2 linked regions of the Stegostoma tigrinum genome follow. The protein of the gene in region 2 purifies or fractionates together with the protein of the main gene of each other region. This does not show direct contact. Links are inferred from orthologs where the notes say so. Each region holds a gene or a part of one and is shown on either strand. Other genes may lie near its edges. The genes, in order: pax9 and lysine-specific demethylase 5B-like.

Region 1 (16,682 bases), on a different chromosome or scaffold from region 2:
GTAAAACATGCTGAACCTTCTACTGTAAGTGCATAAAATAATAAAATAAAGTCCAGTTTTTCAAGTGTATGGGCATTCTGCCATTGATGAATATGTTTTCCAGAAACCTAACAGTAACAGTTAGGGCGAAGAGTCTTACACAATAATACAAAAATAAATTTTGCCATTTTATTTGTATTTACAAAGAAGAATATCTCTATTCCATAATTAATTCTCCCTACAATCAATTCTTACCTTACTAATTAATTAAATTACAATGCTTTGCCTTGTTCTGTGGGTCCAATTACTTAGATGTTATTTCATTAACAGAAGGTAATGCTATCTACATAAACACATGTATTTATTTTTAGTTTTGCAAAGCATACACCACGTGGGATCAGATTTTCAATTGAAGTATAAGTATTGGTGCAAAAGTCCGTGAAAATTTTCTTCATAATTCTTGATACTGTTTTCCTCCAAATATTAGAAACAACACAGCACATTATAGAATTGTTCTCATAAAATAATCTGAATGAATAATCGATACATTGGATATTTTTACAATAATCTGCATATTTTTTGCAAAGTATTTAAAATAGGCTTTTTTTTTAAAAAAGCCTTCGAATGGAGCCTGGATCAACAAATTAAAAATGTTAAATGACCTGGGATACTTGTGACAAGTTCAAATTAGTTAGTCAACTGTATTTGTACCTATAATAGCATGATGTTTTGAAAATCTGTTGCTCTGAAATTTTACGTTTAATCTATTATTACAATTTCCAATAATATTGCCACCTTCCCTTAACATGGCACTTAATGACATTTGCCATCACATTTCCTTGCTATGCATAAATTTGGGATTTTCCAAATCATATTTACTTTGTAACTAGAGGTGATGCTATTCTGTGAATGAATGTAAAAATTGTCCTCTCAGAGAAAGTAAGACGGAACACTGTGTTTCCTTACTCAAATGAAAATGCTCACTTTTTAAGATTCGAATCATTGTCTCAGGCATATAGTGATAATAAGTTTTCCTTGTACTCAATTTGGGCTTCAGTCCTGACCTTCACGTTCTTTAAATGCCAATTGTGTTAATATCTGTGTCCTGCAGAAGACTGGGTTCCAGTGATAAAATGAGAGAGATCGAGCTAGTATTTCATGGAGATTCAAAGTGATCTGAATTAAAAAAAGTCAAAGTTTTTGAATTTCCATAAAATGTGCATCTCACCCTGCCTGGATCAAAGTACTTTCTTTAATGCTATGTTGGCATTAAACTGCTTTGTATTGTAATTAACTACTACAATGCGGAGGCTATAATGGAATGGCTACCTTCTCTGGTTGCTTGAATACTTTTGAATGGCAGTGGTGTGGGAAGGTCACAACTATGAGTTGGTAGTGTGCTGCCACCTGAATGTTGCCAGCCGTGGGTTGCCATGTAACTGGAGGCAGCTGCACTGTATGTCATATAGGGAGATACTTGTGCAGGTGGAGGATAAGGAGCCATACTTGGAACAGAGACAAAGCTGCTAACTGTAGGCAGACCATTAGGACCCTGGAAGATTAAAAAAAAAGTTAAATTATCTTAATAAAGAGAAAATAAGCCAACTATAATTACTTTGTATTATGTTATTGATGTTAGCAGAATGTACCACAGAATGCACAACAAGACTATGTCATGAAAAATTACATGAAGTATGTTTATAACTTAAGCCACGTTGATGTAAAATTTTGCATGAATGACAAATCTGAACCAACAGTGCCAATTTATTTTATGTATTACTGTATTCCTTAACAGTATAGAAGTATCCACTTCATAGTTATCTGGAAGTATTAGATAATACTACCAATACGAAAACGGATGTACTATTTTAAGTGAAACCAATGCACAATGTCGATTGATTTATAAAGAGTGACATTTTAAAATGTTAAATATATGTGAATATTCGAAGATTAAGTGACTGATAAAATGTGGGAAATAATAATCTAACTACAATAGGAAATAGATTAAATTGTGTTGGTATTTAAAATATTCATCACAAGATCCCCAAATTAAAAGTCATGAATGTGTTGGATTCTGTTTTGAAGTGAAATTAATGTTTGAGGTTTTTGGTGAATCATAACAATTGACACATATTATTGTATCAATGAAAATAATGGCCAAGTGCAGGTCAGCTTAAGACCAGGCGCAGATCACACTGATGACTGTTCTCACAATGTTTCCTCATGCAGTGTCCTTGAACAAAAATGCGGGGCCAAACAGAGTTTTGCCGCCCGTTGTATATGCTGTTGCATAAATACAATTGACACCAATATTATACAACGACAGAATAATACAAACCGCGTGGATAGCCAAAGAGAGTATGATGTTTACTTTTCATAACCTGCCATATCGCATCGATTTGAAATATAGGTTTTCACCCCGGCACATATTTGAAATAAGTCATAAGAGATAGTAGGAACTGCAGATGCTGGAGAATCTTAGGTAACAAGGTGTAGAGCTGGATGAACACATCAGGCCAAGCAGCATCAGAGGAGCAGGAAAGCTGACGTTTCGGGCCTAGACCCTTCTTCAGAAAAAAATGATTTTCTGAAGAAGGGTCTAGGCCCGAAACGTCAGCCTTCCTGCTCCTCTGATGGTGCTTGGCCTGATGTGTTCATCCAGCTCTACACCTTGTTATCTTTGAAATACGTCATGATCACTTTCGTTTTAATATCAGATACGTCCAATGTGATCAGTTTCAATGTATAAATATCAATGATCTTGCCTATCATTAGACACTACTAAACTTGCTGGACACGATCAGACGAGCTGGTAAAAGGAGCGGGCCGAGCTTTCTGCTCTTTCAATTTTAATTTTTAATGAAAATATTGGGACGGAACACCGTTTCAATAGTTCTTTCCTCCACCATAAAATACATTCTGTTGTTGCTCAGTTGTGCCAGTGTCTTTGTTTGATTCTGTTCTGCCTTTTTTTTAATTGTCGGTATTTCTTGGGGACGGGATGGGATCAATTGGACAATGACGTTGATAGATTATTTAGATTATTTCAGTGGAGCAAAAGAAATGCACTGAACAATCAGGATGTGGGCTAGAATCATTTCTAGTCGTAAAGGAGCTTACGCCAAATTTCTTGCGAATACTTGTAACATAAAGCTAATAGTCATGAATATACCTGCATGTCTGAGCAGTTAATCCTTCTTTGACATTTCACCACGTTTCTCCACCCCTTCTCGCCTACCCAAACTTTTTAAACAGCTGTGTATAAATCTGTACTTTATCAGTCGATCTTCATTCTGTATTGGACGATTAAGTTCATCAAATGGCAGACTTTCTAATATTTTAAGAAAAAGTAGTAATATTACGAGGAAACCAAATTGTGCTTGTGATTGAATCTGGTATAAATCCACTTCTGCGTTCCCAGGCCTAGTTCTTGTTTTACACCAATTACACCGGACTACATATTCATTGTAAATTTGTGTAAATGATAAATTCAGTTTTCCCATATTTAAAGAGTTTATTGCTGATTTACTTTGTTACAGCGGCTACTTAATTTCTTCAGCATCGTGAAAATGTCCTATGATCCTACAATTAGCAATAAAATTATTGATTATATACAGAAATGGTTCGGATCCCCCCCCCCCCTCTTCGCCCGCCCCTTCAAGATGTTTATTATATGTTTTTGTTCTCGTTCTGCGATTTGGCACATCCATCTGTGCCAGGCTTAGTTACTATTTCGATTTATCAGCGACGTATCTAATGCCATGTAAAACGCCAACTAAATGTCGTCCTTATATTCCCCCTTAATTCCTTCTGATTAAAAAATGTTTACTACACATTACATAACGTTACAAACTAATTAGAAGTTCCCACTGTGTACAAGTCACTGGAATTTAAAGCACTAATTACACCTAGGTTATAATTGTTCAAACGTATTTATTTTTGTAGTTCTGAGTTCTGGAAACGCTGTAATCTGTCCAGTCGAGAGGAAAGGCACACTACAATTACCTGAGTATATTTGACTTCCTGCTCCAGTGGGGACTTGTCCAGTCCATTCACTGCAGCCTGGTTTGAGGACTGGAAGTGGCTCCTGTTTATACTGTTCCATTCCTCCACTTTAGTTGGATAGGAAGAGCTGTCACTAATGGGAATAGCACCTAACAATAAAAATATTTATATCACATAACTTGAATCAGAATCCTTGCAGCAGTCATCATATTCGCATCGTTTTTCATCCCTTTATCATTCCGGCATTTTGTTTTAATTTGGTGCAGACGGCCAGATGAAGTTTACTGGAATACCATTCCGCTTATTTGTACTGCTTAAACTTATCGGATTTAGTCGAGTTCAGTGTGCATTTCTCAGCAGTCTGGATCATATCCAATATGGCACAAATTAATAAATCAGAGAGGCAACAGTTGTATATCATGTATTTCCACAAATTGTTTCGCGATTAGTGTTTGAATATTATTTCTGATATGCGTTACTTCCCCAACAGTGCATTTCGAAACATTATTTTTGAAATATACTCAATCTACGTCCTTGGAAATTATGTTGTAAAAATTTTCACATACTTTATTTGATTGTGAATTTCTGTAAACACTGTTTTCAAATCTATGTCTCTACGAGCTTTCACTATTTCTACAGATATTTAGGGTTACTGATATCGTTTTAAGTAGGTCTTGTATCAGGTCTCTCTTCATGGTTCTCTGCCGTGAAAGTAAGCCATTAAATTATTTTACCAAAATTTCCCCAAAATCATAAGTACAGGATTCATTTTAAATGCACTTTATGTTCATGTATTTAGTTGTAGCCTGAAGCGATACATTATGTAGGAAATGCAATTGGAGCTTTAATTATATATTTCCTCTTAGTCCAGAACAAGATGTGTTATTGTGATGGTTTCAAAAAGGAAAACTGATGTTGGTGGTTAAAGCCGATAATAATTTTCCAGGTAGCACTATCGTAAATGTAAGCAGTTGTCATCTCTTTACATCGTAGGGTTAAAACGACACAACTACTAAATCTGTTTTAAATAAACCCCTGGGCGATTCCCGGATACCCATGTCATTGTTTGATGCAACTTTCCAACAAGTGATTTGTTACATGTTTCGTGGAAATGTGGAAATGATATTGTGATTTAGGAGGTGCAACAGAGAGGGGACTCCAACGAACTGATCCGAAAAATACTTGCGTGTATCACAGAAACAGCAAAATAATCTAAAATAGTATTTTACTAATGACTTATTAGCTGCGCAATCTATCTCTGAACAGTGGCCTGAAGGAATGCTACTGCACAAACCTTCGCGAAAACGTCAACAAAATCGGTGACCAACTACTATAAACGCAAGGTATAACTAGGAGACCATTATAATCAGCCGATGCTGAGAGAGGAAATAATTATGTCGTTTGACAACTGGAGTGGACATTTCCTAGTGGGAAGCGGCCTGGCTTTGCTTTGTTAACTAGATTGCGAAAACTGAATGCGTTAGAAATTAACATGTATTGAAGCACTGTAAATGGGTAGAATGGAGTTCACAGATCTTCGTCTCCTCATACGAAAGCGTTTAAATACATGTCGATAAAAAGCGTACATCTGAAACTACTGAATTGAAATTAAATGTGAAGTCTTGGTTTTGATGGCTGTCACTGTAACAGCTACTGAAATGAAATTAATAAACTGTTACAGGGTGACTTGAAATTTACAAATTTGTGCTTAGGTTCTAATTACATGGAAGGAAAAGGTGGGTTAGTGGGTTTAAGGCAGAAAACGTACGGGTAAGTCTAAAATATGAAACAGTAAAAGCTGAATTTTCACTAAACAGAGGGTTTTTTTCTGTATTATCCATGGGGCCAACTAAATTTAACGGTAAAGTACAAACAACATATTTAATGCTGTAATTCTTTTAGCTGGGCCTTTGGCACTGGACGACTGATAGCTGGATTGCTGCCGCTTACCTTGCTGCTCGATGATTGCTCTAATCCCCAGGATGTCAGAGACAGAATGTGATGAAGGCCAGGTCCTGTGAATTCCCACGTGTCCTGGGATTGCGGGTACACCGGGCGACGCTGGCATTTTACCTCCGGCCGTTGTTATGGGACTCGAATAAGAATAAATCGCATTGTACTGGAGAGCCGATTGCGGAGACGGGTGCGCTGGAGTTTTACTCGATTCGTAATTGCTCTGCTGCGACAAGTTTCCGATCTTGTTGCGTAGGATTCTGCTGATGGAGCTCACTGAAGGGACGTTGTATTTATCGCAGACTCCATCAGCCAAGAGTCTGTCTCGGATCTCCCACGCAAAAATCCCTGGATCCCTCTGCTTGTAAGCTCGAATGTGTTTGACCACTGTGGGGGTCGTCACCCTGGGTTTGCTGCCTCCGATCGCACCGGGCAATATGGAACCGGTCTCGTTGTACCGAGCCAGAATTTTACTGACACAACCGTGTGAAACTCTGAGCTGTCTACTGATATCGCAGGGTCGAATCCCCAGTTGAGCCAGTTCGACTATCCGCAGTCTAATGGCATTTGGCAGTGGTCTGCCATTGACAAATACACCTCCTAACTGGTTTACTTCTCCAAACGCTGGTTCTGGTATGGAATAGAACAAAAAGGCGCATTCAAACAAAAAGTTAACTGCAGAAACACGTTAACCCGACAGCGGATCTATTTTTGTTCTGTTAACCAACTTTTGACAAGCTCTACTTCTTTACGTTTATGGACCGTATCGGTGGGGTAGGCCTGCACTGTGTAAAGTTTGCATTCGACTCAAAATCGTACATTCGGTACTAACGTAGTTCCTGACATTTCCGAGTGGAAGTCAACCACTAATAGGCACAACAGTTGAAATTGAGATCGCCATCTGCACTCGATAGCTTTTGCATGAGCGTTGCGGGAATTTTTTTTTCAATCGCTCGGAGCTTTTATTCGAAAGAGCTCTTAAATGGCAAAAGGTTTGTCTCTGAATTGATTTTGTGGACGTTTGTTTGATAAATCTTCATTTTCTGTCGTTTCTTTACAAAGAAATATTTACACGACCATGAGATTGTTTTTCGAAATGTCATTCTATTTTCATATCCCTAGACTTGAGTTTTCATTTCTCCAATGTTTAGATGTAAATAAAACAAAAACCGTAGCGTGGATTCAAAACCTGGATGTAATTGAATTACGAGCTTTCATTTCTGCTCAGAATGTATTTTTCTGTCATATTGAGAGGAGGAATGGTAACTCCCCGGGAATATTTAACGACTATGTTTGAAAGTTACCCTCCGCTCTCCTTTCAGTTTGCAGTGTTTGCTAATTGGCTCGTTTGGCTATTATTGTACCTTGTTTTCCAGAGGACAAAACACATCTGAATAATTCCATCAAACTCATCGACTCTCCAATAGTTGGCCATGAAATGTAAATTGTCCAAAAATAACATTTCCGCAAAACTCGGTCTAACTTCCCTAAATACAAGATAAACATCCCAACACGTAGTCATCTAACTAGGCGTGACTAGCTCGATCTTAAAGCGTACTTTTTCAATTAATATGAATGGTGGAAACATAAGTTAGTGCTTGCTAATGCTAGCTTTATTGATCGACTGTGCATCTGTTGACAGCAATGTAAAATATAGAGACTACTTACCCATGATAGTTATTACTCAAGTGATCCTCAAAGCTTCCTGCTGAATATGTCAGCGTTTCAAATAGAATTCAAATCCCCTGAAGTACAGATTGCTTTGGAATCCGCTTATAAGTGCTGCTTAATAACTGATCTCACCTTCGGAGTTATAGAAGAGCATGTATAGAGTAAAAATGCTTCCCTTTTCCTCGGGAGAGGTGGCTCGGTTCTGCATTTCAAAGCACAGCATGGGAAATGGATTTTACACACTCTGTCTGTCAATCACCATGGACACACCTTCGGCAATGACGGAAGAGGCGGGAGGATAAAAATCCCATTGACTCATTGGTGGATGGACGTGACCTGGCAATACTACCTGGAAGTTGCTCATACGAATTATTCTCGGGCTGACCACCGTCTTGAAGCTTTTGGTAGACTGTTAATGTGAAGGAGATATTACTTAAATATTTCAATAAATTGCAAATTGTACTAAACTAATATTGTTATTTTAAATGGAATTGTTCATTCAACCGGTAAGTTCCCATTGTAAGTTCTGTTTCCCTCGCAGAGCAACATTATAAGTGTATAGATTATTTATTTTAAAAATGCATCTTAAAATCAATGATCATGTAAGTTCGTGTTATTCCAAAGTAAGTTTCAGCCCACATTTTATTTTAGTTACTGGTGAATGCCATGTCTCATAAAAAAGTCGACCAACATTTTTCACGGCAAATTAATAATTAAAATGGTTGTTCTTTATTTTTTTTCACTGTAACAAGAGTACTAAATATTTGTTAGAGTAAATAATTACATGTAGCTTCCCATTTTAATTTGCTGTTAGCCGCTGGAAGCTTATTTAACGATGTTTGTAAAAATAAGATAAATTCATAATTCATTATTGATTGCATAGTGAAAATATTCTTGCATTAGTTGATTAGTTATTAGAATGTATTGTATCATGCTACGGTTTGAATCAAAATATGACGTAATATAGAGCTGATAAATGACTTAACACCAAGCAGTCTTTGCAAACGAAATGTCCATCATTTCAATTTCAGCGCAAGATTTGCTTATGTAGTCCACCTTTGCGCGATACTGACTAGCGAGAATCACTTCCTTTCATGAAAATACTAATCTTTACCTTTGTTTAATTGCCAAGTGGAACGTCAATCCCGAATTTATGCTGTTTTATTACTGCGACCTATATTTTTTTAAAAGAAAGAAATTCATGACTAATTTTCTGGGGGTATCTATTTATCTTTGTCGTAATAGTTTACCCCACCGTTTATATTTTGCGGTATGTTCCAAACCCGGCAGAAAATCAGGTTTGAAATGGATTCTGTGTTATTGAAGGTGAAGCATACCTACAAAGTTCTTAATGTTTATTTGCAAGTAACAGTCAAATACGTCATTTTAATTATGCACAAGTATTTTTGTTAGATTAGTTCATTTGATAATGTTATGTTGAAGATGCCAGGTAGGTTCTGGTGTCAATAAAATTCTATTACTTAAACATAACTCATTTAATGATCTTTAAGGATAGCGTTGAACTATTTAATGGCTTTGAGGTGAAGGCGTTTTAAACTTTTCTAAAATTATAGCCTGTACGAAAAAAAATTTAAGAATTTTCTTATAGTGATTGACAGTTCAACCGAGTAAACTCTGCTGATAAAAGCAGCAATGTTGGCAATATTCAATAAAACCGGCAGCGCACGAAGAAAGTAAAGATGTAGAAGGAAGGTTTCAAGAAAATGATCTTTTGTCAGACCTGTTGACTTCAGACTTCCAGTTTCCCTTGTATTTTGCTTTTGTATTCTTTGCAAAGTCTCCCAGTTTAAGTTCTCAGGTGACAATTCTTTCCTCTTATTTGTTTTTGATGGGTGTTGGGCATGTTGTAATTCGATAAGACGGCCGATCTTCGCTTCTTTCTATCGGTTTACGTTTCTTTTCTCAATTTGCTGATTTTCTGTAATTGTTTTTGAACATGTTCCTGTCTTTGCCCCGTTGTCTTTCTGAGTCTGTATCCTGTTTTCCTTCGGAACTAACTGTGGGACCTCTGTTCTCCTCTCCTTCTATCTGTGGGCCGCGTGTGAGGCTGGAACTTCGGACAGAAGGAAGAATCCTTGTCGACAAGGCTGCTCTCTAGTGAGAAAGCATAAATGTTTACCCGGGTTGAACGTGCTTAACTTGTTTCCATAGAGGTGCTGAGTGTGGTCTTAAATGACAAAGGTCAGATGCACACTGGCCCGTTAAAGGGCAAAGGAACACAAACGGGATGAATCCTCAATTGTTTCTGCAAGCAAGCATTAAATCATTTTGAATTTGGCTGCTTCATTTCGGAACAGTACGTTTTGAAGGCCAGAATGGTTTTTCAATACATTTAGAAATACGCTGCTGATTTCCAAATGTGAAAATTGTATTTGAATGTCCAAGCATGCACGTTGCTGGACTAAATACCGCAGAGTGCATTCATTATAACTTTAAAACAATTTTCTCCATTATTTAATGGTAACAGTTCGCACCAGGTTTCTTCTTTTTTTTAAATGTAGCTTTGGGAGAATATCTGGTGTTTCCACTCTTTAATTTACGCTTTATGTTAACTTTAAATTTCCCTTTACAATGCGGCATTCAAACTTTCCAGATTCTTTCGGGATAAAAACATGTCCTTCATCCACAATCCAATAGGTAAGCCAATAAAATACTTATTGAACTTCAAACACCTATTTGAAATAATTGGAAATAATAGGAATAAATATTTACAGCAAATTTCATTGAAGCGCAGTGTCTCAGACAATGTCTCCCTTGAAGTTTTTTTGAGTATTTTCTCAAAAGAATTGAAAAGATGACTATAAAAAGGACGGGGGTTTTCGAATAGGCAACTTGACATTTAAACTGGATGTAAAGTGAAACGAACTACCACGGTTTACAAAATCGTGTTAAGAAACAAAACTGTCGCAGCCAGATTAGTGAACGCATCACTGGGCCGCAAACAAAACAAAATCTGAAATCGTTTTTGGATGACGAATTTCAAAAGATAATTGATATTAATAAATCCGAAAAATGTTTGCAAGTTGTCATTGACCGTGGAGATCTTTACACAACACGCTAGCGTTCAAGAAATAGGTGTGAAGATTGATAAAACGAAGCTAAATATGATTTCTCGCTGTCTCCCTCTGGTGAAATCTACTGTATCTGCTTTTCACGTACAACAGGGTGTCGCTAGATTTCTAAAATAGACTATTCAACAAGTGTAAAGTGAATTAATCAAGGATTAACTATTATTCAAGTCACCGTTTAACATAAAGCTCAAATCTTATTTCTAAAGCAACCAACTATGACACTCGAGTTATACAAAATTTAATTGATCCAAATATGTGGTGCTTCCTAAAAGTAAATTAAGTTTTGTCTGAATAATATGTTATCACCGTTATCTAAGCTTGCAGTTGCGTCAAAGGTTAATTCTATTTAGAATGCGTCATAGTATATTTGGACATATGAACAAACCGCGTTACAATGCAACAAACGGGGGAACGTGGGTTTAAAACATCGATGGACAACGCAGTCTCTTGCGCCTTTTCCAGTACTTAAATGGATCGTGGCTCATTTGTATTTCAACTTGATTTATCGGCTTTTGCTCGATAGCCCTTGAAACCATTACCAATAAAAATCTTTCTCTCTCAGTATTGAAACTAACATTTCGGGGAGTGAATTCCACACTGCCCCTCATGTGTGAATAAATGTTTCCTGGTCTCATGCCAGAAAGGCCCAGCTCTTTGTTTTTTATTTAAATCACCTCTATGGGCTTTCCTTATCATTTGAACACTTCGACTGGATTGCCCCTTTATGGCCTAAAATGAAGGAAAGATATTTTATAGAGCCCGTTTTCATAATATGGTTCTCCTAGTCTTGGTATGCTTCTCGTGGACATGCACTTTGCTCTTCCCGTAATTAATATATATATATTTACTGAGGTTAATTGCCCAAAACTGAATGCAATGTTCGAGATAGGCTCGGATCCATTAGATATAGTTTACGGTCTGACCTATCAGGTAACACTCAATTTAAAAACATTACACCGCCCACGTAGCTTCAACGGGAAGTTGATCCTATCGGATAAAAATTATCACAGCCGTGCTTTCAGTCTAATGGATTTCGTTACTAATGCGACAAATGTTATTTCAGAACATATGCATGATATTTTTTTTCAAATTCGAGTTTTAAAAATCTCAACTTTAATTAGGTCCTACAAATTCTATATCACCTCAAAACTAGCTGTAGTTCCATTGAAACTTACGAGTTCGCAAGTCATGTTAAATAATGCTACTGTAATCGGTAAGCAAAATGTTATGATGCACGAAACTAAGAAGACGCCGGACATAGTGCTCCAAATTGTCTGTTTAGTTATAAACTAAAGAATCATGCTGCAAAACGTAATGCTTCTTCATGTGATCTGGATGGATATTTAAACAATCAAAGGAGGTATTAGAACTAGTATTAGAGACGGTTATGAATTAAACATGCACAATATTTTCTCTACTCTCCCTCCTTTGATCGTTCGCGGTAACAAAACCATTTTCAGCTTTATAGTCGGCATTGAAATTATGAGAAGAACAACTGAAATCACTTTCCTGCTGGACACCTTTCTAAAACCATGCTGCAGAACCTATGCCTGTCTCGTAAAGTAATAACCTTAGAAGTGAAGCATCAGGATGTTGCTCGAATTACAAATTCAAAAAAAATTGTTTCGAGCATGCTGTATTCTGAATATCATTATTATTTCAGAAAGTCTGTTCCCAGCTGATGGGTGAAACAGCACGTCCAAAAGGATTTGACCAATTGAATAATCGATGCCTGTGGTGTAAATTCCAAAGAATATACACAATTTGTTTCGTATCCAAAACAACAGTGTAGGTGTTACAAACATTCTACTGATAAATTAATAAAGCATATATCAATAAACATTAGATTTTCTAAATTATATTCTTGGTTACCTGATCAAGTGTATCCTAGGACGTTGTGGGAATTTAAAGACGAAATTGCAGGGCTTTGTATCATCTATCAACATAGGTGTAGTACCAGAGGACTGGAGGGTGGTTAATGTTATGCCATTGTTTAAGGAAGGCAATAAGGAGAAGCCTGAAAACTGTAGATCTGTGAGTCTGGCATTAGTGGTGGGTAAGTTTTTGGAGGTGACTCTGAAAGATAAGATTTACATGCATGTGCAGAGGCAACGATTATTTAGGGATAGTTAACACAAATTTGTTCAAGGAATGTTGTGTCCCAAAAACTTGAGTTTTTTTAAGAAAAATAACAAAGATTGATGGGGCAGAGCAGTAGACATTGTTTAGTTGGACTTCTGTTAAGCAGTTGACAAGGGTCTGCGTGGTAGACTAATTAATAAACCTAGATCACTTGGGATTCAGGGTGAGCTTGCAAATTAGATACACAGAGGATAGTGATGGAGGATTATTTTTGGACTGGAGGCCTGTGACCAGTAGTGTTCACAAGGATTATTATTGTGTCCACTTTTGTTTGCTATTTATATAAATGATTTGGATGAGAATATAGTAGGCAGTGCTAGTTAGTTTGCAAATGATACCAAAGGAAACCGTGATCAATTGAGTCAATGGGTTGAAGAGTGGCAGACAGGGTTTAATTTGGATAAATGTGAGGTATTGCATTTTGGTAACACAAACAAGGTCAGGACTTAAACAGGTAGTGTTGTAGAACAGAGAGACCTAAGGGTTCAAGTATAAAATTCTTTGAAATTTGCTTTATGGTTAGAAAGGGTGTTTAAGATGGCATTTAGCATGCTTGCTTTCATTGCTCATTCCTTTGAGTGAAGGAGTTGGGACTGTTGGTCAGGCCTCTTCTGGAGAACTGTGTGCAGTTCTGGTCACACTGTTGTAGGAAGGATGTCTTTAAACTGGAAAGAGTTCAGAAAATATTTACCAAGATGTTGCCAGACATGGAAGGTTTGCTTATGAAAATAGGCTGGATAGGCTGACACTTCTTTCACTGGAGCTTAGGAGGATGAAGAGAGACTGTATAAGGTTTACAGAATCACGGATGTAGATAAGGCAAATGACGGGGTTTTTTTCCCTAGGATGGGTGAATTCAAAACTAGGGGACATATTTTAGGATGAAAAGAGAAAGATTTGAAAAGGATAAGAGAGGCAACATTTTTACACAGCATGTGTGGAAATGAACTGTGAAGGTAAGTGGTGGATTCAGGTACAGCTACAATGTTTAAAAGACATTTGGATAAGTTCATGAATTGGAAAGGGTTGAACAGATATGGGCTAAACGCAGGTAGGTAGACTAGTTTAGTTTTGGATCATGGTAGGAGTGGACTGGGTGGAGTGAAGGTCTGTTTCCACGCTTAATGACTCTGTGACTCTATAAAATTAGTGTTCTAAATATACGAACTGTGCGATGAAATATGAATAGGATTCGAACGTACTCCTATTTCTGCTGCACAAACCGCTGTGTCGGTGCTTATAAGGTGTAATGGCTAGCGTGGTATCTGGTTGGTCATAAGTGGGTGGAAAATGTCCTCAGAGTCCATTTCGCTAGTTTCAAATTTAACGTCACTGCCATGAGTAGGCCAGGAGTCCTATCTGACAACACTTTCTGAAGCAAACCATTTCGTGTCATGCTGATGAGCGCTGGGAAAATTTTATGAAACCTGTCCGAAATCATCCCGTATTACAGACAATGACAAAAAAAAGCATGCTTGCCAAGTAAAGCAGCTATGGTCACCGCTATTTTAAATCGGGCGAAAGAGCAAGGTACCTAGATGTAATATTTGTATTCAGTCATGTGTATGTTGTATGTTTGTCATTCCGTTTTTCACAGGTAAATTACTGACCAACGGCAAAAGTTTAGAATCTCAAATGCCTCCCATTAAAGTGTAACTCATGGAATAGTAAATAAAAATGTCACGCAAATTTAACACTTCAGTTCTCATTATGTTTAGTCATTGGAAGGGTGTAAAAAGCATCAACGGTCAAAAACTAGTCTTATTTTGATTTTGGAAGCATGTGCAATTTCATGCGCAATAGATCACACTGAACTCATTAGTTTGATTTGTATCTTTCAGTATTGGCATCTTGGATGTTCTATCTCTTTCCTTCTAGCTAATGAATATTAATTTTTAGCAAATGCCTTCCTGCAGTTTTCTGAAATTTTCAAACCTTTTCTAAAAAAAAGGCAGTTCTTTTTTTACAACGACAGGAAATAAATGACTGAAACAAGTTCCGTGAAATTTGTGAATAAGATCGTTGTTCCATATATTTTGCATTTAGCTTTACATAGGTAAAACCGAATTTCCCCGGGGCTCCTTCCAAAAATAACAACTGTATTTACAATATTGAAAACAGTTTCATACTAGGAAAGAAAAAAATGTGCGTAAAACGAATATATTTAGAATGTTTAACATATGTGCATAATTTTTGTTGAATATTAGCGATATAAAACAATGTAAGCGGGAATAATATAAATACACATGGACATTATATTCTAGAGAAAGAATTCATGAAGATATAAAACAAGAACAAAAACATATTAATTCCAATGCTGTATATAAATATCGGAATGTTTATGCAGCTGAAAGTTTGCGGAATAGTAGTTCATAAGGAGTAAATTAAGTTTCGTGATAGTGAAATGAAAGACAACTTGTAATTTAGAACAAATGCATTTTTTGTTATATTCTTTTAAAGGCAACCAAAACGGAAAAATGTTCTGCGAAGGGTACGAGATAGCTGTCATCCACTTGTATAATTTGGACGTTTAAATTTATATATGAACAAGTTCGTGCTGTGAATTAATGGAATTACAAAGTTAGGATAAGCAAGATAAAGCAACTTGTCATTCTAAGCAATCACGCAATTACTGTCCTTACTAATAGGGAACTCAGAGCCTACTTCGTTATCAGCACACATTCAATTGTGCAGATAATACTTGCGAGCTGCTGAATTAAGTTAAATTGATATTGTACAACATGGATTCGGGTCACCACTCAACACCCAAACCGTTTTATTCAAAATTATCCTTATATTACATAACAGTTTGTTTCTGGAATGCTCAATGGAGATTATTCTGCGTCATTTAAGTGCCGCAACGAAGAATTTCCTGAATAAATTGCAATTCCGCAAAATATTCACAGGCCAGAATTTGCTGAATGATGCTCCGATGCTAAAGGACTACCTTTAATACGCCTCCTTAAATATTTGCATTACTATTTTTTTCTAGTCTGATTATTCATTTCTTTAGTCGGATGCATGACACTAACTATAAGGTAAATTGCAGGAGTGACGGACTTGGTAAGAATTAATTTCCAGCAGCGTTTTCAGAATATGCCAGCATTCTGCTGCACAGCAAGCCAAGCACCACACCTGCTATTACACCGCAATATGTGGTCTTGAAATTACATTGTATAAACATTTTACCTTTTATAAAACTTGCGAATATGACCTGTATTTAAATCATTTCAAAATTAACATAACGTTGCAATTATTTTCCTAATTGCGACTAAAACACAATTTTGGCAAACTGCTGCTATCATTAATGCTTGTCTTTTCGGGTTTTTTTTTTTGCTGTATCTGCACTGAACATGCGATTTTTGAATATAAACTGTGCCATTCTTTCATTGAAAATCGTCTCTACCGTCAATTTTCTTCCAAAACCGCAGAGTTGGCTTGTTTCCAACCCGGCGTTTCAGTTGAAAGAAACCCTGTTGGGATCTGGCGCCACCTCCTGATTACAGCTGGCAGGTAGGCGTTAACAAACAACGATTTCAGATTATCAGCATACATCGTAATAATTTTTGACGTCCTCTGACTAAAATGATCCGGCAGTCTAATCAATGATGTACAACATTCAGCATAGTACCTTGCAAATTATAACATCACAGTATGATAACAGTCTTGCTAATAGTTACAAGGATAGGAATTGTATGAATACTGCTTGAGTACAAGGCAATAAGTGGCATCCATGATTGGAACTCACTCTTGAAAGTATACATTGTTGAATTAAAGAATGAAGAAGAATAAAGATAACGTAAAGCGGTAAATTTCACTCTGAGGAAAATTGTGACAACT
Region 2 (16,584 bases):
ACCATCGCCGTTCTTTACAAACTATTTCAAAGCCACCTTCTTCTGCAACAAGCTGTTTAACAAAAAAGCATTAAGTGGTATACAGTCCATGCAGCATGAATAGCCAAAAAAAATCACTGGTCATTATAAACATATTCATTGGCACAAAGTATCCTGGAATTTGAAAGCTATAATATTTCAACTAGGTTAATCAAAACTTGGAACTCTTCCTCCCATCTTTCAGAAATGAAGAAGAGCAGAAAGATGCCATTCAGGACTTTGAGCCTGTTCTGTTATTCATCATGATCATGGCTGATTGCCCAACTCAATAGCCTAATCCTGCTTTCTCCAATAACTTTTGAACACATTTGCCCCAAGTGCTATATCTAGCCGCCTCTTGAATAGATTCAATGTTTTGCCATCAACCACTGCCTGCTGTAATGAATTTCACAGGCTCACCACTGAGTGAAGACATGTCTCCTCACCTCCATCCTAAAAGGTTTAGGCCAAATTCTCAGGCTGTGACACCTGGTCCTGGGCATGCACACACTATCAGAAACATCCTCCCTGCATCTACTCTATATAGTCCTGTGAAAATTTCAAGTCTGAGAGATGTCCCCCCCCATTCATCTGAACTCCAGCAAAATCAATCCTCACCAAGTCAAATCTCTCCTCATACGTCAGTTGCACCATCCCCGGAATCAGCTTGGGAGTCCATGAAAGTTTCCCTCGAAAGCAAGAGCATCCTTCCTCAGAAATGGATACCAAAATTGCACACAATATTCCAGATGTGGTTTTACCAAGGCCCTGTACAACTGCAACACATCCCTGCTACAGTACTCAACCTCTGAAGGCCAACATACCATTTGCCTTCTTTGCCTGCTGCACCTGTACACTTGCCTTCGGAGACTGGTGCACAAGGACATCCAGGTTCGACCATACACACCCCTTTCCAAATTTAAAGCCAGATAGTACTCAGCTTCCTTGTTTTTGCTTCCAAAGCAGATAACCTTACATTTATCCAAATTATACTGCATCTGCCATTGATTTGCCCACTCGCCCAACCTGTCCAGATCATGCTTACGGATCTCTGCATCCTTGTCACAGTTCACACTTCCATCCAACTTGGTATCTCATGCAAACATGGAGAGATTACACTTTATTCACTCATCCAAATCACTAATATATATTGCAAACAGCTGGGACCCCAGCACCTGTGACATCCCACTAGTTAATGTCTGCCAATTTCAAAAGGACCCATTAATTCAGAGTGTTTCCTCTCTGCCAACCTAGTTTCCTATTTATCTCAATACACATCCCCTAATCCCATACGCTTTAATTATGCACATTAATCTCTTATGCAGGACTTTATCAAACACCTTCTGAAAGTCCAAATATACATTGACTGGCTTCCCCTCATCAACTCTACCAGTTACATGTTCATTGAACTCCAGCAGATTTGTCAAGCATGATTTCCCTTCATAAATCCATGCTGACTGTCTGATCCTGCCACTGCTTTCTAAATGCTCTGCTATAAAATCTTCGATAATGAATTTGAGAGTTTTCCCTACTACCAATACTAGGCTCACTGGTCTATAATTCCCTGTTTTCCCTCTACCTCCCTTTTTGAATATTGGAGTGACAGCAGCCACTCTAATCTGCAAGGACTGTTTCAGTCTACAGGGTCCTGGAGGATGACCAGAATTGCATCCACTATTTCTACAGCCACTTCCTTAATCTACATCCCAGAGTAGTTATCAGGCCCCAGGGATTTATTGGCCTTCAATCCCAACAGTTTTCCCAGCACCGTTTCTCTACTACTGATCTCCCTCAGTTCTTCCCTCTCACGAAATCCTGCATCCTCCAATAATTCAGCTATCTGATTTGTGCCCTCTTTACAAAAAGGCAGGACCAAAGCAGGAATTCAGTTCCTCAACCATTTCTTTGTCCCCTATTATGCATTCCCCCTGTTTGTCTGTAGGGGAATGACAGTAATCTGGGATGTAGATTATTAGGCCCGGAGGATTTATCTGCCTTCAAACCCATCAACTTTCACAGCACCATTTCTCTACTAATATTGAACTCCTTCAATTATTCCTTCTCACTAAACACTTCATTCTCCAAAGCATGAATTCAGTTGCTCAGCTATTTCTTTGTCACTCATTACACATTCTCCACTGTTTCTGTCTGTAGGGGAACTACATTTGTCTTTACCAATCTCTTGCTCTTCACGTATCTACAGAAGCTCTTAGCACCAATCTTCATTTTCCCTTCAAGCTTACTTTCAGTCTTATTTTCCCCTTCTTAAATCAATTCCTTCAACCCTCTTTGCTGAATTCTGAACTGCTCCCAATCTTTAGATTTATTACTTTCTTTGCTAATCCGTATGCTTCTTCCTTGGATCGGATACCCTTTTATTTCCTTTATAAGCTGCAGATTGGCCCTCTTACCCATTTTGTTTTTGCAACAGACTGGAATAAAAAGTTGTGGTTCCCCCATGTATTCCTCGAATGTTTGCCGTTGCCTATCCACTATCATCCCTTTAAGTAACTCTCCCCAATCTAGCAAGGCCAACTCCACCAACTCACACAGTCATAGCTTCATTTATTAAGATTCAGCACCCTAGTCTCCAAATTAACAACTCACTCTCTACCTTGACAGAATTTCATCATGTTATGGTCGCTCATCCCCAAAAGGATCTCACAACTAGAGCGACAGTGATTCCCTCTCATTCTCTAGTTGGTTCCTCCACATGTTGGTCAAGAAAACCACCCCATATTCAGTCCAGCAATTCCTTCTCTACAGCATTGTTGCTAATTTGATTTGCCCAATCTATGGGCAGATTAAAGTCATCCATGAACGCCAATATTCCCTTATCACATGCATCTCTAATTTCCTGTTTTATGCCATTCTCAACATCCAAACTGCAGTTTGGGTGTCTAGACATGACACCCACTCATGTTTTTGTCGCTTTGGTATTTCTCAACTCTATCCATACAGACTCCACATTGTCAGAGCTAGTTTCCTTTCTCACTACTGCGTTAATTTGCTCTTTAACCAGCAATGTTGCTCCACCACCTTTTCCTTTTTGCCTACCCTTCCTAAATACGGAATACCCTGAAGCATTCAGTTCCCAGGCCTGGTCACCCTGCAGCCATGTCTTTGTAATCCCAATTATATCATATCCATTTACATCTATCTGCACAATTAGCTCATCCACTTTATTGCAGATGCTCCATACATTAAGGCAGAAACCCTTCAAGCCTGCCTTTTTAAATGCTGTTTGTTGAGCTCTTTTCTCAAGAAATCCATTTGGATTTTGTCTTTGGTTTTTCTGCCTATCACTTTGCAACCTTTTATTTCATTCCTTGCTGCCTTCCTGTGACTCCTTATATGGGATCCCATCCCCTTAGTATATTAGTTTAAACCCTCCCCAACCGCTCTAGCGAACACTATCCTAGGAGTCCTGGTTGGCACCCAGGTGTAACCCATTCAATTTGTACAGGTCACACCTCCCCCAGAACTGGTCCTACCTTCCCAGGAATCCAAACCCCCCCACCCCCCTCAAGACCATCTGTTCAGCCACGTGTTTGTCCAACATATATTCTGTTGTTTCTACTGACTATCACAAGGCACAGGTAGTATTCCTGAGATTACCAGATTTCTTAAATTTTCTTCCAAGCTCCCTGCATTCTGCTTTTAGGACTTTTTTTTAAAAACAGCCTGTCATTTGTACTGATGTGTACCACAACCACTGTCTATTCACCCTTCCCCTCCAGAAGGTTCTGTGCCTGCTTGGAAACATCCTTGGCCCTAGCACCAGGGAGGCAACGTACCAGCCTGGAGTCTCATTTGCCACCACAGAAATGCCTATTTATTCCCCTTACAATTGAGTCCCCTATGACTATTGACTTGTTAACCCCTCCCCTCTGCAGCAGAACAAGAGTGGGCCAACAAGTTTGGCTGCCAATGCTGGAGAGGTCATTCCCTTCAGCAGTATCCAAAACAGTATACCCGTTTTGCAGGGGAATGGTCACAGGAGATTCCTGCACTACCTGCCCATCTGGCTGGTAGTCACCAGTTTCCTTCCGGCCTGCAAAATCTGAGCCAGTGGCATGGTCATCTCTCTACACATACTATCTGTGATACTCTGCCTCACAAATGCTCCACACTGTCCCCTCCTCCAGCTCTGAAACTCAAGCTTCCAGGAGCTGAAGGCAGAGACACCTTACCTACTCACCAATCACGTACCTCCCTTGTAGTCACCTGCTGCAGAACAAGGTCACTCATTTTCCCTTGCTTGTGATCCTCTGACTTTTCTTTTGGTTATAGGAGGGGGCAACCACTAACACTAGCCTGTTCCCTGGCCAACATCTGACTCAGGTTTGCTGGAGCACTGCAGCAAACCTCAGTGCAAACTGGACAAACATCTCATTTTCCACTGGGGGGAGCCTGCAACCTTTTGGATTCAATATCAAGTTCAAAAATTTTAGGACCTCAAATCTCCCTGGTCCTAACCCCCGAGCCTACACACAAGGCCTTTTTGATCAGTGTGTAATGGCAGGTTACCTATTGCTAGTCACTAACCATCCCCATGAGTAGCCATTCACCCTCCTAGCCAGATCTTTATCAACTACCTTGTCTATCAACTGCTCTTCTCTCTCCCTTCACTCCAGTCTTTATCCTATCGTTTACTCCCTAACCCACCACCCCCCACCCAATCTTCTGTATACAAATAGACAGGTCCCTAGCTACCATCAGTACTGAGGAAGGGTCACCAGACCCAAAATGTTCACTGATTTTCTCTCTTCACAGATGCTGTCGGGCTTTTTGCTGAGCTTTTCCACTAATTTCTGCTTTTGTTCCTGAAAAGAGGGTGTCTTCCCGTGGTACTCCTTCTGGTAGTGGAGATTGCAGCAATTCAAATCTTTACCCTGACCATCAATGTCATCACAGCCTTCTCACTACAGATCTGCATCACTTACTTTTCTATTCACTACAGTCAAGTTGTATTGCTATGTATAGAACTTTCAAATTCCTCTTGACGTATTAATCAATCGACAAAGTAAGATTTTACAGCCATGGGCTGAAAGAAAAGCCAGAAACAAACACTGAAAATGGTAAAAATAGTCATTAGATTAATGCCAATTGGGGTGAGGGGAGAAAAGTTAATGTCTTTGCAGAACAAATTCCTTGAATGTGCAGGAGATGGTTTTCCAAGAGCAGCATGTTGAGGAACCAAAGAAACCAACTGTTTTATAATTAGTATTGTGCAATAAACAAGGACAAGACCACGATAATAATCTTAATGTGAAAGAACCTTTAGAGAGAACAGTAACCATAATATTCTACTTTAGCAGCAGCATTTGTATACAGCTGTTTAGAACCTACAATGAGTTGAATGAGGATCATGTTATATTGCCCAGTTTGCGGATGACAATGTTAATTGCAAAAAAAGTGTTGCAAGTATGATTGATGCTATGATGCAAAAAAAAAATTTAGATAGGCTGAATAGGCAAGAACATGACGGATAGCATACAAGTGGACAAATAAGACACAGATCTAATGGAGTTTGCTGGGCAGAGTGAAGACATGATGTCAGAGATAGAGGCAGGTGTACATTCTTGAGACATGTACTTCAACTCAATGCCAGAGACATAATATAAATCTTACCTTGTTGAGTAAAAACAAATCCAAGATCTTCCTTTCCACATGTGGAATTTTTAATGTTGAGCCCTGTAGCTCCCAGAATTTTGCTATCTGGTCAAGAAAATTGAGTTTTACTCTGGTCTGAGCCTGTGAACAGATCAGAAAGTAATTCTTTTGCTATACAGATTGCACATTGTTTTTAAAATTCCTATTGGGCAATGCATAGACTTCCAATCATACAACACAATATATACACTTTGTTACATTTGTAACAAAGATGTATACCATTTGTATACAAGGTATATAAGGCAAAGAGAATATGCATACACAAAAGTGAAGATTTATACAGCACCCATTTTTTTTTTAAGGATGGCATAAAATGCTTCAAAGCCTTGTGAACAACTGCCTTACATTGTAGAACAGACAACTTGCATACAGCACAATCCAAATTACTGCAAGAGTATATGTGACTAGGAAACTTGCACGTTTACAGAAATATTGGGCTGGGGCCAGAATTCAGGTACAGGAGTAGGGATCAGGGAACAATTTGAAAAATGATATACAAAAATCTCAATGCAGAACAAATTTTGCAGAAAAACCTGTCACACAATGCAATCAGTGCAAATAGGTATAATACCCTAATTCACAGACTAAAATGACAACATACCTCAAGTTCATTCAGTCTCTGAATTCGTGGAGTGAAGTGCAGTTTATCAACATCACAAGCGAAGGGCGGCTGCCAGTTCTGCAACAAAAGAGGAGGCTCTGATCTTCGACCTCAATTTTACCTTCTGCCTACCTACCTTTTCCCCACCCTTTCACCCATACCATGTCCTGCCTGCTCCTCTGCCCCCACCCCACTTCAACTAACCTACCCCCAGCCTCTTCAAATCCCACCTCTCCCTTCAAAGCTCCCACCTTTCAATCCCCTCTGCCAGCAACCTCATCCTCCAAACCTCTCCCTCCTCCCAGCTACCATTCTGCTGCTCTCCCACCGCTCCTTCCCCACCCCCGTTGTTATCCCACCTCTCCCCTTTCCTTCCTATCCCTCTTTCTCTTCCCCCCCCCTTCTGCTGCTATTCCACCCCTCTTTACTTCCCACCCCCCCATCCCTCTTTCTCTCCCCCACCGTACTGTCCCACCTCTCCCCTTCCCTCCCAACCCCCCTCCTACCTACCTCGCCGCCTACCTACACCACCTCCACACCTTCCTTTTCCCCTCCCTCTTCGCACACAAAGGAAGTCCCTGCTGGATCCGCCATATTGAAAACTTTACTGCCACCTCGGAAGTTTGTACAGGTGCTGATGGCCGGGACTCCGCCAACTCCCTCCCTGCGTGCATCCCGGGGAGAGAGCCCGTCCTGCGAGAGGAGCCTCACCTGTGGCGGACGGACTTTGCAGATGCCAGTTTTCTCGGCGATGGGCCGGATCTTGCTGATGAAACTGAAGGGGTCGGCGAACTCCTCCGGAGTGGGTTCGAAGACCGGGCACTCGGGCGGGGGGATGAACTCCACCGCCGGGTTCATGGTGTTGCCTGCCGGGGAACTCAGTGCGATAGCGGCCCGGCCTCGGGCGACGGTTACTGGCGGTTCCGTGTCGCGGCGCCCCGGCCTCGCGCTGTACTCAGTGTCGCGGCGCCCCGGCCTCGCGCTGCACTCACCGTCGCGGCGCCTCGGCCCCGTACCGAGCTCGGTGTCGCGGCGCCCCGGCCCTCACGCGGTATTCGGTGTCGCGGCCCCCCCCCCCGCCAGGCCTCGAGCCGATCACCAGCCCTTTTTTTTCCGTTGCTCCGTCTCGCTCTGAAACGGCGCAACACCGCCTCACACTCGGCTAGCTCCTTCCGCGCAGCAACCAGTTCGCGCGAACACACCGCCGGTGCGCCCCAACGCACAGCGCACAACCGCTGCGAAACGAGCTCTGCCCGCCCAGCATCGACACCACAACACACTGAGGGTCTGAAATCGAACCGGAGCAACCCAGTGACCGTCTGTTTATATCGAGCGCATTGATACAACACCTCAATCGTGAGGCGACGGCTGATTCCGGCACTCTTTGTTTAAAAGCCATTCTCCTCGGCGGTGATTGGCTACTGACGACCAGGGGCCCTGGCTGGGCAGTAAAGGGAGGATACAAGCAGGGACCCAGCGAGGAGCGCGAGTGTCAGCAGCCTTGGCCCACCCCCACCCCTACAGCACCCCAGTCCTCCCATACCCCATGCCTCTCACATCCCACACCTCGTTTCCAACCCCCCCCTCCATCTCTGACTTCCCCAACACCACACCTCTCCCCATCATCTCCACCCTTGCAACTCTTCCCTCCCCCACACCTCTCAAGGAAGAGGAGATTCAAAGTGAACATAGAAGAACAAGGCTGGAGAAATCATGATGGGGAACCACATAATCACAGAGGAGTTAAATGAATGCTTTGCATAAGTCTTCAGCGTAGAAGACACTCTTAGAATTCTAAAGTTACTAAATATTCAGTGAGGAAAAAATGACTGGGAAAAAAAATGCAATAACACTAGAGGAAACTACTGGTAGGGAAACTAACGGGTCTTAAAAGCTGGTAGATCCCCTCTGAAGAAGGGTCGCTGGACCAGAGACCTTTTTTCTGCTTTCTCCAATTTTTGATTTCAGTGCCTTGGGCCTTATAGGATGTACCCTAGGGTACTAGAGGAAGGAGCAACAGAGATAGTGGATTAAGGGGTAGTAATCTTTCAGGAATCCTGAGATGGTTGCAAAGTCCAGAGGATGGAAAAATTGCCAGTTCTTTCAAAAAAGGGAAGAAAACAAAGATGGGTCTGTTGTTGGGTAAATATTACAGTATTATAAAGGGTGCATTTACAATGAGCATGCAGAGTCAGCATTGCTTAATGAAGGAGAAATCATGCCTGACAAATTTGCTAGAATTCTTTGAGGAGGTAACGAACAGGAAAGATAAAGGGGAAACAGCAGATGTGATTTATTAGGAACTTTTGAAGGTATTTGGTAAGATACCACACCTTAGGGTACTTAATAACATAAGATCTCTTGGTTTTGGAAGAAGTGTTTTGGCATTGATTGAGAGTAGGCTAACTAATCGATAACAAAGAGTCAGGATAAGGATGCATTTTCAGACCGGCAACTTGTACCTAGTGTTGTGTGACAGGGATCAATGTTAGATCCACAGTTATTTATAATATATGTTAAAGATTTAATTGAGGAAGGTGAATGTACTATCACCAGTTTTGCAGATGACACAAATAGGTGGTAAGGCAAGTTGTAAAGATGGCACAGTGAGTCTGTAGAAGAATATAGACAGCTTAAGTGAGTGGGTAAAAACTTAGTAAATAGAATATAATGTGGTGAAATGTCAGGTCATGCCCTTTTGCAGGAAGAGTAGAGGAGTGAATATTATTTAAATAAAGAAAGACCACAGAAAGCTAGCTTACTGGGTATGAAGTGATTTTCTTACAGGGTGATATTGAGCAGCTTGGGCCTGTACTCCAACATATAAAATTCTTAGGGAACTTGACCCGGTAGATATGGAAAAGTTCTTTCACCTTGGTGAAGGGTCTAGGACCACGGAGCATAATCTCAGAAAATGGGGTCTCACATTTGAGATAGAGATGAGAAGACATTTCTTGTCTTGGAGAGTAATGAATCTGTGGATTTTTTTTGCCACTGAGGGCTGTTGGGATTGGGTCATTAACAATATTCAAGGCTGAGATAAACAGATTTTTAATCAGTCCGACAATCAAGGGATATGGGGAAAGGCAGGAAAGTGGAGATGAGGGTTATCAGATCAACCATGATCTCATTGAATGGTGGAGCAGACTGAATAGAATGAATGGCCTACATCTGCTTGTACATATTTTGATCTTATTTTGCATTTAAACCAGCATTTCTGTCAATCATATCATAGCAATAAATTCTTCAAGGCCTATCATAGTGTTATGTTCCTATCTTTGATAATACTGGTCAAGTTAGATCCCAGTGTGATGCTTGATTGACTCTAAGTATAATTTTATAATTTGGTTACTGTGGGGCTAGGTCACCAAATGTATTCACGTGAGGCTATGAATATACTTTTGACAAAAGAACATAAATATTACACATAATGGCGGTAAGATTAACTTCCAGCAATTAATTTAGTATGTCCAGTCTTATTAAAATTAAATCATATTATTTTACTTTTATGCCTCTTGTGTTCACCTTTATTATTTTGGCATACTTCTGTTTGTTCCCTAAAACTGCTGTTTTTTTCATCCTCAGTTTTTCTATTTCTCCAATTTCTTTGTGGATCCCATGTGACTATTCCCCAATTTATAACTGAGAGATACTATTTTGGAATTCTTCTACAATCATACTTCCCTTCGCAGTTTTCAAAACTTTTCTCTAACTTCAGTGATCAAAACCATTGATTCCATGACATTGCATCTTACTTTACAAATTCTGTAAATATCTAATTGAGGAACATCAGGGAAATACAATGAATAATATTACTTTTTTAACCATTTCAGATGGTTATTCTGGCAAACCCATGTACACGCTTATAGCTGTCAGTAAAAATACACTATAAAGTTAAGGCCCAAACTGTTTTGCCTACTTCACCTTCATAGCCACCTTTTCAAATGAGATGAAACATCTTTCTTCTCCAACCTCTGTAAATTTAGGCACTAAATATGAATATTTAGTTAAATCAAGTAACCCTCATTTGAACCAGAAACATCCTTTAAGCTATTACCTCTTCTTACTTCCCTCATTCCTTTACAATATTTCTGTCTTCATATTGTCTGAATTCTCTCTCCTTTGAGCATTAGGCTTTTTAATTTATTTTCTCTTTCATTTTCTTTATCCTATCTTCCCAATCTTTCTTTGTTTTACTTTCTCCTCACTTTCCATTTCAAGATCTCTGATTTCCATTTTTCTTCTTTTCTGTTTCATTTAATTTGTTTGTCATTTCTAACTTAGTCTTAGCTAATTCTAAATGGTCGCTCTTCAATATAATGCTTTCCTCCTTTTCTTCTAAATGTTGAGTAATCATTTTAAGCACCAATCTTTACAAGATCCTGCTTTTATTTATACCTTCAACTTATCCACTGACTCTCTTAGTATAACTTTCATGAAAGTTGTCAAATAGCCTACTGTTATAATTTCCTCCCCCAGAAAAGTCTTGGAAATAGGCAATGTCACATTGAAAGTTCAACCTGTGTAATTACTTCACAACAACACTACTGGTTTTCTCGTCAGTACCTTCACATATGTCATGGCATAGACTAAGAAGTTTGTCAAAATAATAGGTGCAAAGCCCACATGATGCTTATTGTGTCAAAACTGAGGGTTAACATAAAATAGCATAATTAATAGTTAATTAAAATGTCCACTAGAGAAGACCATAACACCATACCAAACAATATCAGAAATGATCAAAGAATGCACAACAGTTTTAACAGAAATGAAGCAGGTTTGACACCAGTTTAAAGGTTTCAAAACAAAACATCTGATTTCCTGTACTAACAGAGACAAAAGATTGAAAGCTGTAATAGTTGTAGATGCATTCATGAATGCTGGCCAGGCCTTGTTAAACTGAAATGACAAAGTGACCTTATTGAAAAATATGACGACACAGTCAAAAGCAGCTACAAGAGGATGTCTAAAATAATTTACCTCTGAAGAGATTGAATTAATTCACAGGAAAAAAAAAGTGAGCGTTGCTTACAATGTAGTAATCAAGTAACAAAAACATTCAAAGTGATTAGAAGTGGAAAATCCTGTGAGCAACCTCTTTTATGTTTTGTGATGTTCCAGGCTCACTTCTGCTCCTATTACACCCAAACTCATAGAAGCCTACAACATTGACTGCGTGGATAGGTTATAAAATGATTTTAAAGTAAATTGGTAATAAATTGTCTCAAGTGAATGAAGCAAACAGTTAGTGAATTAGTTTTATATAGTGTATTTTCACCTCCTCAGGAAACCCCAATGTGTTTTGCAGCTAGTTGATAACTGTAGTCACTATTCTAATGCAAGCAACACAACATTAAATTACACCAAGCAAGCTCTCAGAAAGAATGCCAAGATGGACTAGTTATTTTTGTGCTGTTGGTTAGGAGAGGAGTATTAACTAGGACATCAGGAGAATTTGTTTTTCCAAATATTGCCTTAGGACATTTCACATCTTCAGAACATCCCCTCCCCCCACTGCATCCCAAAACCAGCCCAGTTCGTCCCCTCCTCCCACTGCATCACAAAACCAGCCCAGCTCGTCTCCTCCGCCTACTGCATCCCAAAACCAGCCCAGCCTGTCTCCACTTCCCTAACCTGCTCTTCCTCTCACCCATCCCTTCCTCCCACCTCAAGCCGCACTTCCATTTCCTACCTACTAACCTCATCCCGCCTCCTTGACCTGTCCGTCTTCCCTGGACTGACCTATCCCCTCCCTACCTCCCCACCTATACTCTCTTCTCCACCTATCTTCTTTTCTCTCCATCGTCGGTCCACCACCCCCTCTCTCCCTATTTATTCCAGAACCCTCTCCCCATCCCCCTCTCTGATGAAGGGTCTAGGCCCGAAACGTCAGCTTTTGTGCTCCTGAGATGCTGCTTGGCCTGCTGTGTTCATCCAGCTTCACACTTTGTTATCTTACCCTCGCTTATGGTCTTTTTTTGCATTCGGGACTTTTGACCATCACTGCCTAGACCAGAATTTATTACCAATTCTTAATTGCCCTGGTGTTAATGAACTGAAATTTTGAAGTGCTACACTCTGTGTTGTGTAGGTCCTCCCACGGTGCTTTGAGGAAGCTCCAGGATTTTGACCCTGTGACAGTGAAAGAATGGTGATATACTTCCAAGATAAGATGGTGTGTGGCTTGGAGACGAACTTGCAGGCGGTGGTGTTCCAATCATTTATCACCCCTTCTAGGTATTAGAGGTTGTGGGTTTGAAAGCTGATGGCAAAGGAGCTTGAGGAGTTGCTGCAGTGCATTTTGTTACTGTGCATTGAAGATGGACTTCCACATGGCTGGCCCATAGTTTCCTGTTTTCTGCCTCTGTCCCTTCTTGAATAGAAGAGTTTATGCAGCATCTCAAGATTTGTACTCAGTACTGATTGGCTTCAGAATTTATTTGCCACTATTGAAGGACCACGATCATCCTAAAAGATTTGCCTTGAGGTGCAGAGACAGAAAGCTCCTGCTCAGGTTAGTGCCTAGGAACACCAGTAATGGTAAGAGGTATTTGGGTATTTGGCATATGCACAAAGATCATGTAAATATTTAATTGCACCGAAATTGTGTTTGCTAAAGCTGTCTTGGCAAAGGTTGGACACTCAAATTTGAAAGCTAGTTCAAGTAATAGTGACCATAAACCTGGCATAAAATGTTTCAAAAATCCATCTGGTTCACTAATGAGATATCAAGGTGTAGAGCTGGATAAAAACAGCAGGCCAAGCAGCATCATAGGAGCAGGAAAGCTGACGTTTTGGGCCGAGACCCTTCTTCAGAAATTCTGAAGAAGGGTCTAGGCCCAAAACGTCAGCTTTCCTGCTCCTATGATGCTGCTTGGCCTATTGTGTTTATCCAGCTCTACACCTTGTTAGCTCAGATTCTCTAGCATCTGCAGTTCCTACTATGTCTGGTTCACTAATGCCCTTTAGGGGGGAAAAATCTGCTCTCCTTACCTCTTCTGGCAGACAAGCAACTCCAGAAACACAGAAATGTGATGACTAACTAGAAGGTCTCTCAGTTCAAAGGCATTCGGGAATGGGCAAAAATGCTGGCCTTGCCAGTGACACCCCATTCGACGAATACAGAAATTTTAAAACATTCTTATCAACATACTTGAGAACTTCTTCACTTTAACCCTAACCCTAACCCTATCGCAGACTATCCCAGCCTATAATAGGATAACTGAAGACTCCCATTATCAATACTCAGTCGTGTTTGCAGCTCTATTATCACCACAACATCATGTTCCCTAGTGGTTAGTTGCACCTGCACCTCATCAAATCTTATTTATCACACTTCATGCACTTACACATATGCATTGTAAACATACCTCAACCTATAATCTGAAAACATCAACTTTAATGCAGTGACAAACGCAAGTATAATGCAATTAAACAAAAATACCCTTACTCACTATAGAACTCTGGACTCTCAACCAGCTTGATAACCCATCATTATGTAGAGATCTTGTGATGCTTCATTCTGCTTGGATTTTGATGGCAGTAACATGTCAAAAGCTCTTCAGCTATGTCAGATAATTGCCTTGGCAAATGCACTATCTGCTCCCTCATCAGAATCATCACCTTTTCCTTTGTTCTGATTTGCAGAAACATCTGATCCATCCACCTCCTCTTCAAAAAATTCCTCTCCCAGTTCCCAAGCGGGATTGTACATGTTTGGCAAGAACTGAAACACCCTACCTGAGTGGCACAAACAGCAGAAATTCATATTTACCGAGACAAGTATCTGCTAATTCCTTGCTGTTTTTGAGTCTTGGCCAGTATTCACTGGATCAGAGAAGTGTTACGTTACAGAAGAAAACAGGTGGCACAGTGGCTTGGTGGTTAGGACTGCAGCCTCACAGCGCCAGGAACCTTGGTTTGATTCCACCCACAGGTGACTGTCTGTGTGGAGTTTGCACATTCTCCCCGTGCCTGCGTCGGACTGCTCCTAGTGCTCTGGTTTCCTCCCACAGTCACAAAGTTGTGCAGGCTAGGTGGTTTAGTGTTCAGTGATGTGTGGTGGGGTGGGTCAGGGTGGGATGCTGAGAGTCAGTGTGGACTTGTTGGGCTGAAGGATCTGTTTCTACACTGTAGGGCATCTGTGATCTGTGAAAAATTATTTATCCCAGCATTCCTGCACCAGCTGTCTGACTGAGGATTTTGAATTAATGCAATTTTCTTGCCTTTTTCCCATATCTGTACACATTATTTCTTTTAAAATAATCATCCAATGTCCTCTTGAATGCCTCAGTTGAACCTGCCTATACCATACTCCCATTCAGGTTCCAGACCTGAAACGCTCACGAGAAGGATTTTCTCACTTCACGTTTGCTTCCTTTGCAAATCACTTTAAATTTATACCTTGTCATACTTGACCCTTTTCCAAATGGGAACAGTTTCTCCCTATCTATCAAGCCACCTCAAGATTTTAAAATCTTTTACCAAATACCCTCTTATCCTTCTTTTTCCAAGATAAGCAATCCTAAGTTCTCCAAACTATCCTCATAATTTAAGTTTCTCAACCCTGGAATTTTTCTTGCAAATTGCTTCTAAGGTGCCTTCAATGCATTTCCATAATATAGCATCCAGAGCTGTACACAGTATTCCAGCTGAGGTCTAACAAATGGCATACAGTAACAAGTGTTTTGAACTAATACACTGGCACATTTGCACCAGTTTCATGAGTTGGGTCTTTTGTGGATATCCCCTGTAAAATAAGGATCAAATCCAACAATTATTGAAGGTCGCAAACTCCTGTGATACCTGCAGGTTAGTCAGGGTGTACAAATTGGGAGAGCTCTCTGGGTCATGTACACACACTTGAAGGATTTGTTTCTGGTGATCACAGCCCAGTTGTAGAGTTAGAGAGTAAAACCCCAATTTGAATATAAATGCTTTTTGCTAACCCTAGGGAGCTCTTAGCACCACATGTACAGTCAATTGCCCTTTGTACCTATGGAAGCCCTGAGATAGCAACAAATCCCACAGTTATGACTTCTGTGTGTGTGTTGTGAATCTAACAAGTTCAACCATCAAACTCACACCTTTCTAAATAGGGCATTTGGGACCTTCCTGATTGTGATTATCAGTCTGTGATATTCAAGACTTGTCACCTATGGATCCCTTGAAAGAAGTACTAGTGAAGCAGTTCAGTGTGATGGTGACTTTCTTATAGAATGATGTTTATGACACAGTAGGAGGCCATTCACACCATTGTAACTACACCAGTCAACAAAGATCTAACTATGTTAGTTAACTTTTTTTCTGATGAAGGGTCTAGGCCCAAAACGTCAGCTTTTGTGCTCCTAAGATGCTGCTTGGCCTGCTGTGTTCATCCAGCCCCACACTTTGTTATCTTGGATTCTCCAGCCTCTGCAGTTCCCATTATCTCTAACTATGTTAATCCTGTTTTCCAGCTTTTGACCCAGAGCCTTGAACGGAGTGGTAATGCAAGTGCATATCTAAATACTGATTAAGAGTTTCTGATCAACCAACTTTCAGGCAGTGAGTTCCAGGGTTAAAGCACATTCCAAGGGGAAATCATTGTCCTCAACCCTCTTCTTCGCCTTCTACCTCTTATCTTAACTCTATGTTCCCTGTTGTTCAACCATCTACTAATGGAAAAAGTACCTTCCTATCCACCCTATCCATTCTCCTCATAATCTTATCCACCTCTATCAGGTCCCTCTCAACCTTTGCTGCCCCAAGGAAAACAACCCTAGCCTATCCAATCCTTCTTCAGACCTCAGACTCTTCAGCCCAGGCAGCTGCCTGCTATATCTTCTCTGTACCATCTCTAGCGCAGTTACATCCTTCCTGTAGTGCAGTGGCCAGAACTGCACCTAGTACTACAATTGTGACCTAACTAGTGTTTTTTTCTATCCTAGCACAATCTCCTTGCTGTTGTATCCTATGCTGTGGCCCATAAAGGCAAGTATCCCATTTGTCTTCTTAACCCGCTTATCTACCTGCCCTGCCACTTTCAAGGATCTGTGGAAATGCACACCATGGCCTCTCTGATCCTCAGTCCTTTCTAGGATCCCAATATAATTTGTTAGCACCCCCTAAGTGCGTAACCTCAGATTTCTCTGGCTTGAATTCCACTTACCATTGCTCTGCCTACCTGACTTGTCCAATGATATCCATGTGCAGATTATGGCTATCCTCCTCACTAGTTATCAGCCTATCATTTTCATGTCCCCCATGAACATCTTGACGACACCCCTTACATTTAAGTCTAAATCAAT

What was found.
Region 1: the proteins of lysine-specific demethylase 5B-like (region 2) and pax9 purify together in Homo sapiens (affinity purification with western blotting, with the first as the bait; 3 studies listed by BioGRID). This does not show direct contact. The link is inferred for Stegostoma tigrinum from reciprocal best matches to the Homo sapiens genes KDM5B and PAX9.

The regions. Positions count from the first base shown.
Region 1 is NC_081363.1:57,050,200-57,066,881, reverse strand, and holds the start of pax9 (paired box protein Pax-9), read right to left. Parts: upstream 7,973-16,682; 5' UTR 7,832-7,972; coding exon 7,741-7,831; exon of another isoform or gene 7,610-7,740; coding exon of another isoform or gene 7,606-7,609; intron 6,568-7,605; coding exon 5,935-6,567; intron 4,134-5,934; coding exon 3,985-4,133; intron 1,957-3,984; exon of another isoform or gene 1,532-1,956; coding exon 1,309-1,531; coding exon of another isoform or gene 1,277-1,308; exon of another isoform or gene 1-1,276. UniProt on the Homo sapiens protein: Transcription factor required for normal development of thymus, parathyroid glands, ultimobranchial bodies, teeth, skeletal elements of skull and larynx as well as distal limbs.
Region 2 is NC_081374.1:48,015,545-48,032,128, reverse strand, and holds the start of lysine-specific demethylase 5B-like, read right to left. Parts: upstream 7,619-16,584; 5' UTR 7,154-7,618; coding exon 7,007-7,153; intron 6,374-7,006; coding exon 6,296-6,373; intron 5,776-6,295; coding exon 5,653-5,775; intron 53-5,652; coding exon 1-52. UniProt on the Homo sapiens protein: Histone demethylase that demethylates 'Lys-4' of histone H3, thereby playing a central role in histone code. Does not demethylate histone H3 'Lys-9' or H3 'Lys-27'. Demethylates trimethylated, dimethylated and monomethylated H3 'Lys-4'.